Macaca mulatta: one gene and its partner. The protein of the gene in region 1 interacts with the protein of each later gene in a pairwise test. Links are inferred from orthologs where the notes say so. Each region holds a gene or a part of one and is shown on either strand. Other genes may lie near its edges.

Region 1 (4,745 bases):
AGCCACAATTACGTCATTTCACTCCAGCCTGGGCCACAGAGCGAGACCTCATCTCTCTTTATTTATTTAGTTTTTGAGATAGAGTTTTGCTCTTGTCGCCCAGGCTGGAGTGCGATAGTACAGTCTTAGCTCACTGCAGCCTCCGCCTCCCGGATTCAAGCAATTCTTCTGCCTCAGCCTCCCAAGTAGCCGGGATTAAAGGCGTCTGCCACCGTGCCCAAATGTTTATTTATTTATTTATTTATTTAGAGACGGAGTGTTGCTCTGTTGCCCAGGCTGGAGTGCAGTGGCACAATCTCGGCTCACTGCAACCTCCGCCTCCCAAGTTCAAGCGATTCTCCTGTCTTAGCCTCCTGAGTAGCTGGGATTACAGGGGTCTGCCACCATGCCAAGCTAATTTTTGTATATTTAGTAGAGACAGAGTTTCACCATGTTGGCCAGGCTGGTCTTGAACTCCTGACTTCAAGTGATCCACCCGTCTCGGCCTCCCAAAGTTCTGGGATTACAGGCGTGAGCTACCACACCTGGCCCCTAAATTTTATTTTTAGAGATGAGGTTCGAGACCAGCCTGGCCAACATAGTGAAACCCCGTCTCTACTAAAAATACAAACAGTAGCCAGGTCTGGTGGCATATGTCTGTAATGCCAACTACTTGAAAGGCTGAGGCAGGAGAATCGCTTGAACCTGGGAGGCAGAAGTTGCTGTCAGCCAAGATCGTGCCACTGTACCCCAGCCTGGGTGGCAGAGTGAGACTCTGTCTCAAAAAAAAAAAAAAATTTTTTTTTTTAAATTAAATAAGATATTTCCCTTATCAGAGTGTAATTTCGCTCTTATTGGGGTATGGAACCAGACGGGGGTCTCTGAGAGCACAGCAGCTGCCACTGTCTGGGCAGCTTCAATGTCCAGTGAGGGCCAAGCACGGACTTGGCCCAGGTTAATGTCACTTTGTTGTCTTCTCTCTCCCTTAGGGCCTTCCTGCTGTCCCTGGTGGCACCAGTGGCATTGATGGTGGCCAGGTGGGCAGGGCCTGGGACCCAGAGAAGTTAGCCCAGGAACTGGCAGCATCGCTCACCAGGTGTGTGGCTGGGTGGGGATGGGCAGCCTATGTGACAGCCCCCGGGGGGGCTGTCTGCAGCAGAAGCTAAGGTGTACCCCTGTGTACAGGTGTGTTTACATGACAATACTGTGGGCAGGTGGGTAGGAGGAGACGTGGGAAATAGGATGGGCTAGGGCTGTGAGCCCTCCTCTTCCCCTTCGCAACAGGACGCTGGACCTGCGGGAGCAGCTGCAGTCTCTGCGCAGGGAGCTGGAACGGGTGGCTCAGAAGGGGCGAGCCAGACGGTCTCAGAGTGCCGAGCTGAACAGGGATTTATGCAAAGCCCACAGGTGGGACCCCTGTTCTGCATCCCTCCAATCCCCCTGGCACCATCCCCCACCAGGATCTCAGAAGTATCCCTGGCTCTCTCTGGGCCTTAGCCTTCCCCGCTGCCCCAAAATAGGCAATAAAGGCCAGGCACAGTGGCTCATACCTGTAATCCCATGTTGGGAGGCTGAGGCTGGCAGATCACCTGAGGTCAGGAGTTTGAGACCAGCCTGGCCAATGTGGTGAAACCCCATCTCTACTAAAAGTACAAAAATTAGCTGGGCATCTTGGCACATGCCTGTAATTCCAGCTACTTGGAAGAAAGGAGAATTGCTTAAACCCAGGAGTTGGAGGTAGCCGTGAGCAGAGATCACACCACTGCACTCCAGCTTGAGCGACAGAGCAAGACTCTGTCTCAAAAAAAGAAACAACAGGCTGGGCCAGGCACAGTGGCTCATGCCTGAAATCCCAGCACTTTGGGAGGCCAAGGCGGGCAGATCACCTGAGGCCGGGAGTTCGAGACCAGCCTGACCAACATGGAGAAACCCCATCTCTACTAAAAATACAAAATTAGCCAGGCGTGGTGGCGCATGCCTGTAATCCCAGCTACTTGGTAGGCTGAGGCAGGAGAATCGCTTAAACCCGGGAGACAGAGGTTGCAGTGAGCCAAGATCAGGCCATTGCACTCCAGCCTGGGCAACAAGAGCAAAACTCCATCTCAAAAAAACAACAACAGGCCGGGCGCGGTGGCTCAAGCCTGTAATCCCAGCACTTTGGGAGGCCGAGACGGGCGGATCACAAGGTCAGGAGATCGAGACCATCCTGGCTAACACGGAGAAACCCCGTCTCTACTAAAAAAATACAAAAAACTAGCCGGGCGAGGTGGCGGGCGCCTGTAGTCCCAGCTACTCGGGAGGCTGAGGCAGGAGAATGGCGCAAACCCGGGAGGCGGAGCTTGCAGTGAGCTGAGATCCAGCCACTGCACTCCAGCCTGGGCGACAGAGCCAGACTCCGTCTCAAAAAAAAAAAAAAAAAAAAAAAAAAAAAAAAAAAAAAACAACAACAAGAAAAAACAGGCTGGGCACAGTGGCTCACACTTGTAATCCCAGCACTTTGGGAGGCCAAGGCAGGCGGATCACCTGAGGTCAGGAGTTCAAGACCAGCCTAGGCAACATGGTGAAACCCTGTCTCTATTAAAAAATACAAAAAAATTAGCTGGGCATGGTGGCGGGTACCTGTAATCCCAGCTACTTGGGAGGCTGAGGCAGGAGCACTGCTTGAACCCAGGAGGCAGAGGTTGTAGTGAGGGGAGATCTTACCATTGCACTCCAGCCTGGGCGACAAGAGCGAAATTCTGTCTCAAACAACAACAACAACAACAAAAAGACCAGTTAGCTGGGACCCTGGGAGACCCAATGTGAAAAAGCCCCCATTCTGGGAGTGGGAGTACATGGCCCCTGCCTTGGGTGGAGTCGGGGGCTATTTCTTGACCCAGCCCACCCACCCCTTCCAGCGCCCTGGTCCTGGCCTTGCGAGGAGCCCACCGGAAGCAGGAAGAGCAATGCCGGAAGTTGGAGCAGCAGATGGCACTCATGGAGGCTCAGCAGGCTGAGGAGGTGGCGGTGCTCGAAGCCACTGCAAGGGCCCTGGGGAAACCCAGGCCGCCCCCCCCGCCTCCCCAGCTTGGGGATACCGTTCTGTAGGCCCCTTACCCAGCCATGTCTGGACATGCCAGACCGCTGTGGCATGTCATAAACTATCCTGGAGTGACATCATGTCATGTTGCATGATTTGGCATGTTGGGGCACATTTGGCATGAGGGAAGCTGGTGCACATGGGTGTCCAGGGCCTGATGGGTGTGGCCACGCAATGCAGAAAGACTTGGGTGTCTTTGGCCTGGCACCAAGTGGAATGTGAACTTCACATCAGTGGGGTCAGGCCAGAAGCAACCTGGGCTGTGGGACCAGGTCTCTGGGACTGACGAATTTTGGAGGTCCGTGAGGTTGCATAGCCACAGCTGAAGTTCCAACTGGCCTGTCTCCTGAAGCCCAGGGAGGGATTCATGGGGACTGGACAAAGCTTCTCCTGGCAGCTCCTTCCCAAGGAGATGCTGGGTTTGGCTGGCAGATTTTCCTGAAGGGGGCCGGGCGCAGTGGTGCACGCCTATAATCCCAGCACTTTGGGAGGCCAACGTGGGTGGATCACTAGAGCCCAGGAGTTCAAGACCAGCCTGGACAACGTGGTAAAACCCCATGTCTACAAAAAAAAAAAAATACAAAAATTAGCCAGGCATGGTGGCATGTGCCTGTAAAGCTATCTAGGAGGCTAAAGTGGGAGGATCACTTGAGCTTGAGAAGCAGAGGTTGCAGTGAGCTGAGATCACACCACTGCACTCCAGTCTGGGTGACAGAGTAAGACCCTGTCTCAAAAAAACAAAACAGGCTGGGTGTGGTGACTCACGCCTGTAATCCCAGCACTTTGGGAGGCTGAGGCGGGGAGGATCACCTGAGGTCAGGAGATTGAGACTAGCTTGGCCAACATGGCAAAACCCCTGTCTCTACTAAAAATACAAAAATTAGCTGGGTGTGGTGGTGCATGCCTGTAGTCCCAGCTACTCAAGGAGGCTGAGGCAGGATAATTGCTTGAACCCGGGAGGCAGACATTGCAGTGAGCTGAGATCACGCCACTGCACTCCAGTCTGGGTGACAGAATAGGACCTTGTCTCAAAAACACAAAACAGGCCGGGTGCGGTGGCTCACACCTGTAATCCCAGCACTTTTGGAAGCTGAGGCGGGCAGATCATGAGGTCAGGAGATGGAGACCATCCTGGCTAACACGGTGAAACCCCGTCTCTACTAAAAATACACAAAATTAGCCGGGCGCAGTGGCAGGCACCTGTAGTCCCAGCTACTCAGGAGGCTGAGGCAGGAGAATGGCATGAACCCAGGAAGCAGAGCTTGCAGTGAGCCGAGATCGTGCCACTGCACTCCAGCCTGGGTGACAGAGCGAGACTCCGTCTCAAAAAAAAAAAAAACAGGGCCAGGCACAGTGGCTCACGCCTGTAATCCCAGCATTTTGGGAGGCCAAGGCGGGTGAAGGCGGGTGGATCACAAGGTCAAAAGATAAAGTCCAACATAGTTAAACCCCATCTGTACTAAAAATACAAAAATTAGCTGGTCGTGGTGGTGCATGCCTGTAATCCCAGCTACTTGGGAGGCTGGGGCAGGAGAATCACTTGAACCAGGGAGTCGGAGGTTGCAGTGAGCCGAGGTTGCGCCACTGCACTCCAGCCTGGTGACAAAGCGAGAGTCCGTCTCAAACAACAACAACAGGCCGGATGTGGTGGTTCATGCCTGTAATCCCAGCACTTTGGGAGGCCGAG
Region 2 (6,456 bases), on another chromosome or scaffold:
AGCTATTGTCCTTTCCTTTCATTTCCTTTCTCTTCACAATTGTATCTAAAGTCTATCAGTGATGCTTAACTTTACAATTTAGTTTACACATTGCAACGATGGGATGGGATGATGATGAAACTGAAAGGAAGAATGGAACATCACTTAACAGAAGTTGGACTTCGGCCAAATACAATAAACGAGGAGATTTTGAGATGCCCTGCTTTGGGGAAGGGATAAGTAAATTCTGTTGTAGGAGAGATCCTCGCATTTTGTTGGATGGCAGCATTTTCATTTACCTTTGAAAGCACTTCTGTGAACGCTGGGCAGCCTAAGAGACGGCCTATAGTGGAGCAACTTTTGGCAACCCAGCATCTCATTCTTCTCATTTGAGGGGAGGCCCCCACACACTGAGTCTTGCTATGAGGCTAGGCCTCCCTGACTAGAAGCCACAGGAGAAACCAGAACTCTATTTGCCTATTAGCAATTGGAACGCAGGCACATAACCTAGACTAGGCCTAGTAAATGGTCCTTCCCAAAACTTGAATCTTGAGCGAGAAGAGTTGAAAAATAATTCATGTCACCACCAAAGGAGCTGGCATGCACCCTAATCAGAGTACCAAAGCAGGATGGCTTAGCTGGTTCCTAATATTTCCAGACCTGGTTCTCCAGCATTGCTGGTGCAAGGAGTATAACTACAGACAGCTCCAGGCCTATTTTTCCCATGCTCAGAAACACCAGAGGAAAGAGCCTCTTTCTCCCACCCTCATTCTCTAAAATCCCTGACAAGGGCTCAGATCATCTTAGGTTTGGTCATGTGCACATCCCTGGGGAAATCTGAGAACAAGAGGAGGGAGACTATAGTTGGCCAAGCCTGGGCTCCACACCTCCCCTTCTCCACACCCATCCTGCCTCGAGAGGCCAGAGAAGTGTGGTGCTAAAGAACCATCTGATCCAGGGGACTGCAGACAATTCCCCAAAGGAAAGTTTTCCCATCAGGCAAAAACAAAAGCTGCTCACAACACAAAATTACAGAACGTCAGAACCAAAAGGAACCTTGGGAATCCTTCATCCTATCCCCTCTCTTATAGATTGGGAAACCATAAGGATATGTATGCCTGTTTGGACTTTGTACAGTTCTCTGTTCAGCAGGGGTGACTTGGCTGTGGGATTAGGTGACTCCACTGGAGGTCTTCTGTGTATAGAAAAGATCTAGGGTCACAAACACCAATCCCTTCGGGTAGACAGCAAATGTGTGAAGGCTGGCGGTTACTTAATGGACCAGTGGTGTTGGTGGGATTCAAATTCTTATTAAAAAAACAAAAGCAAACAAACAAAGAAAACCTATGTGATGCCCAAATAAAACCATCTGTGGGCTAGATGCTGCTGTTGTCAAAAGTTTGTGACCCGTGGGTTAGACAAAACCTCTGAGCTGTCCTGACAGGTCTGGGAAAACCAAACAAGTCCTTGTCTCCTAAACTACCTGGGACTCAAGAGCTCTGCAGGAAAAAATTTGTACCCTGCACCCAGCTGGGGTTGACATTTACAGACACCTGTTTTATGAATTGAGGAGATATTCAGCAGAAGCCAGATTGTTGAAAGTGCTGCTGAGAGAAAACCATCAGAAGGGAGGACTCCTTCCCCACGCCAGCTAGGTGGTAGTTCCTCTATGCCTCCGGATTCTGCTGAGCAGTAAAAGCTAAAGGGCAGTGTCATTAAGCTCCTAGGGGACGGGATGGAGTGGCTCACGCCTGTAATTCCAGCACTCTGGGAGGCCGAGGCGGGAGGACAGTCTGAGTCCAGTTCAAGCCCAGCCTTGGCAACACAGCAAGATCCCATCTCTGCAAAATAGACAGATAGATAGTTAGAGATATATGAAAGCTCCTAGGTCTCATGCTGGCGGGTGACAGAGTGTGCACCCTGGCCTCCCACAAGCTGCCTCCCACTTCCCTCTGACTCCATCACCAATTTCCCATCAGAGCAGGCAGCTCGGAGTCGCTAAGCAGCTCCCAGTTCATTTTCCACACCCTTCCCATTCTCTGCGAGCCAGAGCTCCACCTCCCCCCGAAGCTGGCCTCAATCACCCGGCCTGGGGAGCTCCCCTCGGCACTGGCTCCCCGCCTCGCCCCACAGCACCTGTTCGGGCCTCGGTCGCGCCGCCGGGTCTCGCAGATGCGAATGTAAACAGAAACACAGCGAAAGGAGGTGGGACCACCTCGTGGCGCGGCGCGTAGAAACATCAGTACGTCCAGAGCAAAATGAACGAATGTACGCATGACTCCTGGCGCGACCTTCATGCGGGAAAGCGCGTCCCCCGGCACCCACCCTTAAGCGCCCCAGAATGACCCGCCCTTGCACAACCCGGCTCTCAGGCGAAGCTGAGGTCGGAGCTCCAAAAACGAGGGACGACAGCAGCTGAAGAAGTCCCGGCTTCCCATAGGCCAAGACGAAGTAGGGGGCGGGCTCATCTTGCAGAAGCGTCCACGTATTGGTCGAGCCCCGGCTGAGGGTTGAGATTGGCTGCGCAACACTGCCGAACGCTCTCTCGCGGAGGGAGAAGGGGCGGGAAGAAGGGTGTGCTCACCGCGTCCGAAGGGCGTGGTTGGCGCTCGGTCCCGCCCTTCGCGTTTCGGGCTGCGGTTGGAGGGCCGCGGTTGCAGTCAGGGCCCCCAGCTTGGGGCCACCGCATGGGGCTGCTGAGGCCGTTCCGGATGTGCGAAGCGTTCGCGGTGCGGTAGGTAGGCAGCGTCCCGCGCTCTGGTGCTGGTGTCCGGGGTGCCCGCGGCACTGGGGGCGGTGGCCGGGGCTAGATCCGCGCGCGCAGCCCGGCCCCCTCCGCCCCTTCCCTTCGGTGCCTGCGGGGCCCTTGCGGTGCGGGCCGTCTGGCCTCGCGTCCCCGCCGGCAAGGGCACAAAGGCTCCCTGGGGGCGGGGGCGCCTCGTGCCTTCGCCTCCATTTTGCGGGCGGAACAGCGTGTGTTGTGGCGGCCGAGGGGTCGGGGCCGAGGCGGGCGGCTGGGCTTGGGAGTGCCCGGGCGCGGCGAGGGAGCGCGCGAGTCCGCGCATCTGGTGGCGGAGCAGCTGCGCTGCTGGTGGTCCTGGGCCCCTGGGGAGGTCACTTTCCCTCAGGCCTCTGCCGAGCGTGGGCTGTTTACCCAGCTACCCAGTCGGGACTAGTGCAGCGCGGGCCTTTCCCTCTCGAAAGATGGAGACCAGTGATGTCTTCTTATCACCGTGGATGCTGCAGCGCCCAGATGCGGAGCGAAAAAATCTAGATGTCTCTTTTTTTTTTTGCCTCGGAGAGCTACCCTTTCTAACTGTCATCACTAGAACAGTTCTCAGCAGCCTGGGGACGAATGTCCAAAACCTGTTCCAGCCCTTGATGATTAGTAGTTTGGGTTTAGTGTATTGTTTGTAACAAAAATGAGCGGAAACCTGCCAGGGCAGATTGGACCTCCCTGGGAATTCATCAGGACCACGAAGGGAGGTAGCATTTGTAAATAATCTAACAGTCCTCAGATCTAGGGTATGGAGAATGTTGTGTTAAAGTGCGTGACAAAGGGTGTTGAGTCAGTTTGCTTTGGGTTTAGTTGAAAGATCTAGAAGTCACCACTTTTTACTTTGTTCACTCCATTCCCCTTTCCCACCCTCTGTTGAGTCAATTCTGGCCCACTTAGAAAACAAAACAACAACAACAAAAAAAAACAAGGAATTCAGTTTAAGCTCTTTTGCAAAGCTTTCGAAGGCACTTACTCACCCTGCGACTGATAACTCCTCCCTGTTCAGGGCTACCTTCTCCGACCTCTATTTTTACACATCACACTGTATTGCGGTTTCCCCAGCCCCTAGCACAATGCTTGGAACATAAAAGGCACTCAATGATGGAAGGAAGCCAAAAGGAAACAAAGTCAGCATGGTAGCCCAAAGGTGACACAACAGAAATATTTATTTAACTTCTTGAGCCAGTTATTCTTACAGGTTAGGAAGGCAGCTAAGCTCAGGCTTTCTAAGTCAAACAGACTTTAGCTCTGCCATGTTACTAACTCTGATTAAGTTTGTTTGTTTGTTTGTTTGTTTTAATGGTGATGGGGTTCTTGCCATGTTGTCCAGGCTGGTCTTAAACTCCTAGGCTCAAGCAATCCTCCTGCCTCTGCCTCCCAGAGTGCTGGGATTACAGGCATGTCATTAAGTTATTTAACTTCTCTGTGTCTTGGTTTCCTCATCCTGAAAATGGGAATAGTAATAGTACCTATGTGATGGGTTATGAGGATTAAATAAGATATTAATGTAAAGTGCCTACCATAGTTCCTGGCACAAAGAAAATGATCTGTAGCTGTTAGCTGTTAGCAGTTGTTAGGAGAAAAATAAATGGATACTTGAATACACTCACTAATATGAAATATCTGTATAGTACTTGACCTTTCAGGATCTCTCTGCTTTTTGGTCCTTATCCGATCCCTTTTTTTGAGACAGGGTCTGACTCCATCACCCAGGCTGGAGTGCAGTGTCATGATCTCAACTCACTGTGACCTCAGCCTCCTGGAGTCAAGAGTCCCTCTCACCTCAGCCTCCCAAGTAGCTGGGATCACAGGTGCACATCACCACGCCCAGCTAATTTTCTATTTTGTTGTAGAGATGATGTCTCTCTATATTGCCCAGGCTGGTTTGAACTCCTGGGCTCAAGCGATTACAGGCATGAGCCACGGTGCCTGGCCCGTTATCTGATGGCGGATTTTTTTCTTTTTTTGAGAGGGAGTTTCACTCTTCTTGGCCAGGCTAGAGTGCGGTGGCACAATCTCAGCTCACTGCAACCTCCTCCTCCCGAGTTCGAGCAGTTCTCCTGCCTCAGCCTGCCAAGTAGCTGGGGTTACAGGCGCCCACCACCATGTCCCGCTAATTTTTGTATTTTTTGTAGAGACAGGGTTTCGCCATGTTGACCAGCCTGGTCTTGAACCCCTGACCTCAGGTGATCCGCCCACCTCAGCCGCCCAAAGTGCTGGAATTACAGGCATGAGCCACCGTGCCCAGCCTGATGGCTGATTTTTAAACATCTCTTTAGCCTTTGCTGATTCTCTTTCCACAGTGAAAGTATTCCATAGAATATTATCTGTTTATGTGTCTGGAGTCTCACCACCAGCTAAAGATTGATTCGGTGCCAAATAGCAGTTTGGCCAAGAGTTACAGTTGTACCTGATACACTCTTAATGGGGTCTGGTACCTGAAATGGTCATGTAAAATCAGAGGAGCCAAATAGATTGGGGCCTCGTATGGCTGACAGAAAATCTTTACATGGTTGATCCATCCAGATAGAAGCAGAGCTTATGGAGGTGGACTCTCCTTATAACTTAAATTTGTTCTCATGAAGAAACTACTGTCTTTAATGTTGTTCACAAACATTGTGAAAAGCCCAAGAAGTGTTCCTGTTGGCTTTAGACCTGTCTGCCAGCTAGAGGTGTCAGATACAACCCTTGGGGGACACTGCGTCACTTCCAGGTTTTCCTGTACCACTTTCTGGTTACAGGAAACAGGTTAAGTTGCACATTTCCTTGTAGCTGTAAGCTCCCTTGGCATACCAGTTTATCTTAAATTATTTCCAGTTTCCAGAACAAATACCTTTCCCCTTCTCACCTGTAACTGGCACAGGAGAATTTCAGGTCTGTGATTCTGTTTTTAACATAGCCACCGTGAATCTCAAATTCTTTCTAGGGAATATTATTATTTCTGAGGACTCCCTTCCAGCTGTGGTATTCTATAATTAGCCATTAAAAACCTGCCACAAGGTGTAAGCCTTTTCTAATGTCCTTTTGCAGAGGCCTTGAAGACAAGGACCGTAAATTTTCTTGTGTGTAACTGGCATATAGGCACCCAAGGAATGGTTTTAAAGCTATTTTAGTTGTTCCTTCTCAGGGTGCTGAAACAGCCTTACTTACCAACCCAGTGCTTCTGAAACATTGTGCTTACCAAGTTATCTGGAGATACTGCTAAGCTGCAGGTTCTCATTCCAAGGTTCTGGGGTAGGACCTGAGAATCTGCATTCCCTACAAGCTCTGAGGTAATGCAGATGCTGTTGGTGCTGGATCACACTTTGATAGTGAAGTACTAACCCGAGTATCTACATTTGCTTTGTAGAAGTATTGGGTAAATGGGTTTTATTTTCTTATGGTATTGGAATAAAATCTTGGCTTTAGGAGCTTTTTTCTATTTTTTGTTTTAACAATTTATCTTGTTCAAAAAAAAACTATTCGAGGAATTGTTCCAAGATACTTTGATATAACAGGATTTTTAATAAAAGCAATTGAGGCACATGGAGTGAAAAAAAAAAAATAGGAGAAAGTCAAGGGAGAGATTAGCACAAAAAGGCAAGTACCTCTCTGTCCTGTGCATTTTACTCAAGTGAGATTGTGTATTTGGCCCTGAGCTTTGTAGCAGCCAAAGCAGAGGGAAATTTTTTTTTATCAGTTTTGCCAGTACTTACAAA

Evidence for each region.
Region 2: the proteins of USHBP1 (region 1) and CEP68 interact in binary tests that used the Homo sapiens proteins (3 or more experiments, as listed by UniProt). The two-hybrid records come from large-scale screens. The link is inferred for Macaca mulatta from reciprocal best matches to the Homo sapiens genes USHBP1 and CEP68.

Annotation. Positions count from the first base shown.
Region 1 is NC_133424.1:17,735,727-17,740,471, reverse strand, and holds the end of USHBP1 (harmonin-binding protein USHBP1), read left to right. Parts: intron 1-968; coding exon 969-1,075; intron 1,076-1,263; coding exon 1,264-1,386; intron 1,387-2,876; coding exon 2,877-3,066; 3' UTR 3,067-3,138; downstream 3,139-4,745.
Region 2 is NC_133418.1:59,657,844-59,664,299, reverse strand, and holds the start of CEP68 (centrosomal protein of 68 kDa), read left to right. Parts: upstream 1-2,599; 5' UTR 2,600-2,713; exon of another isoform or gene 2,714-2,717; intron 2,718-6,456. UniProt on the Homo sapiens protein: Involved in maintenance of centrosome cohesion, probably as part of a linker structure which prevents centrosome splitting. Required for localization of CDK5RAP2 to the centrosome during interphase. Contributes to CROCC/rootletin filament formation.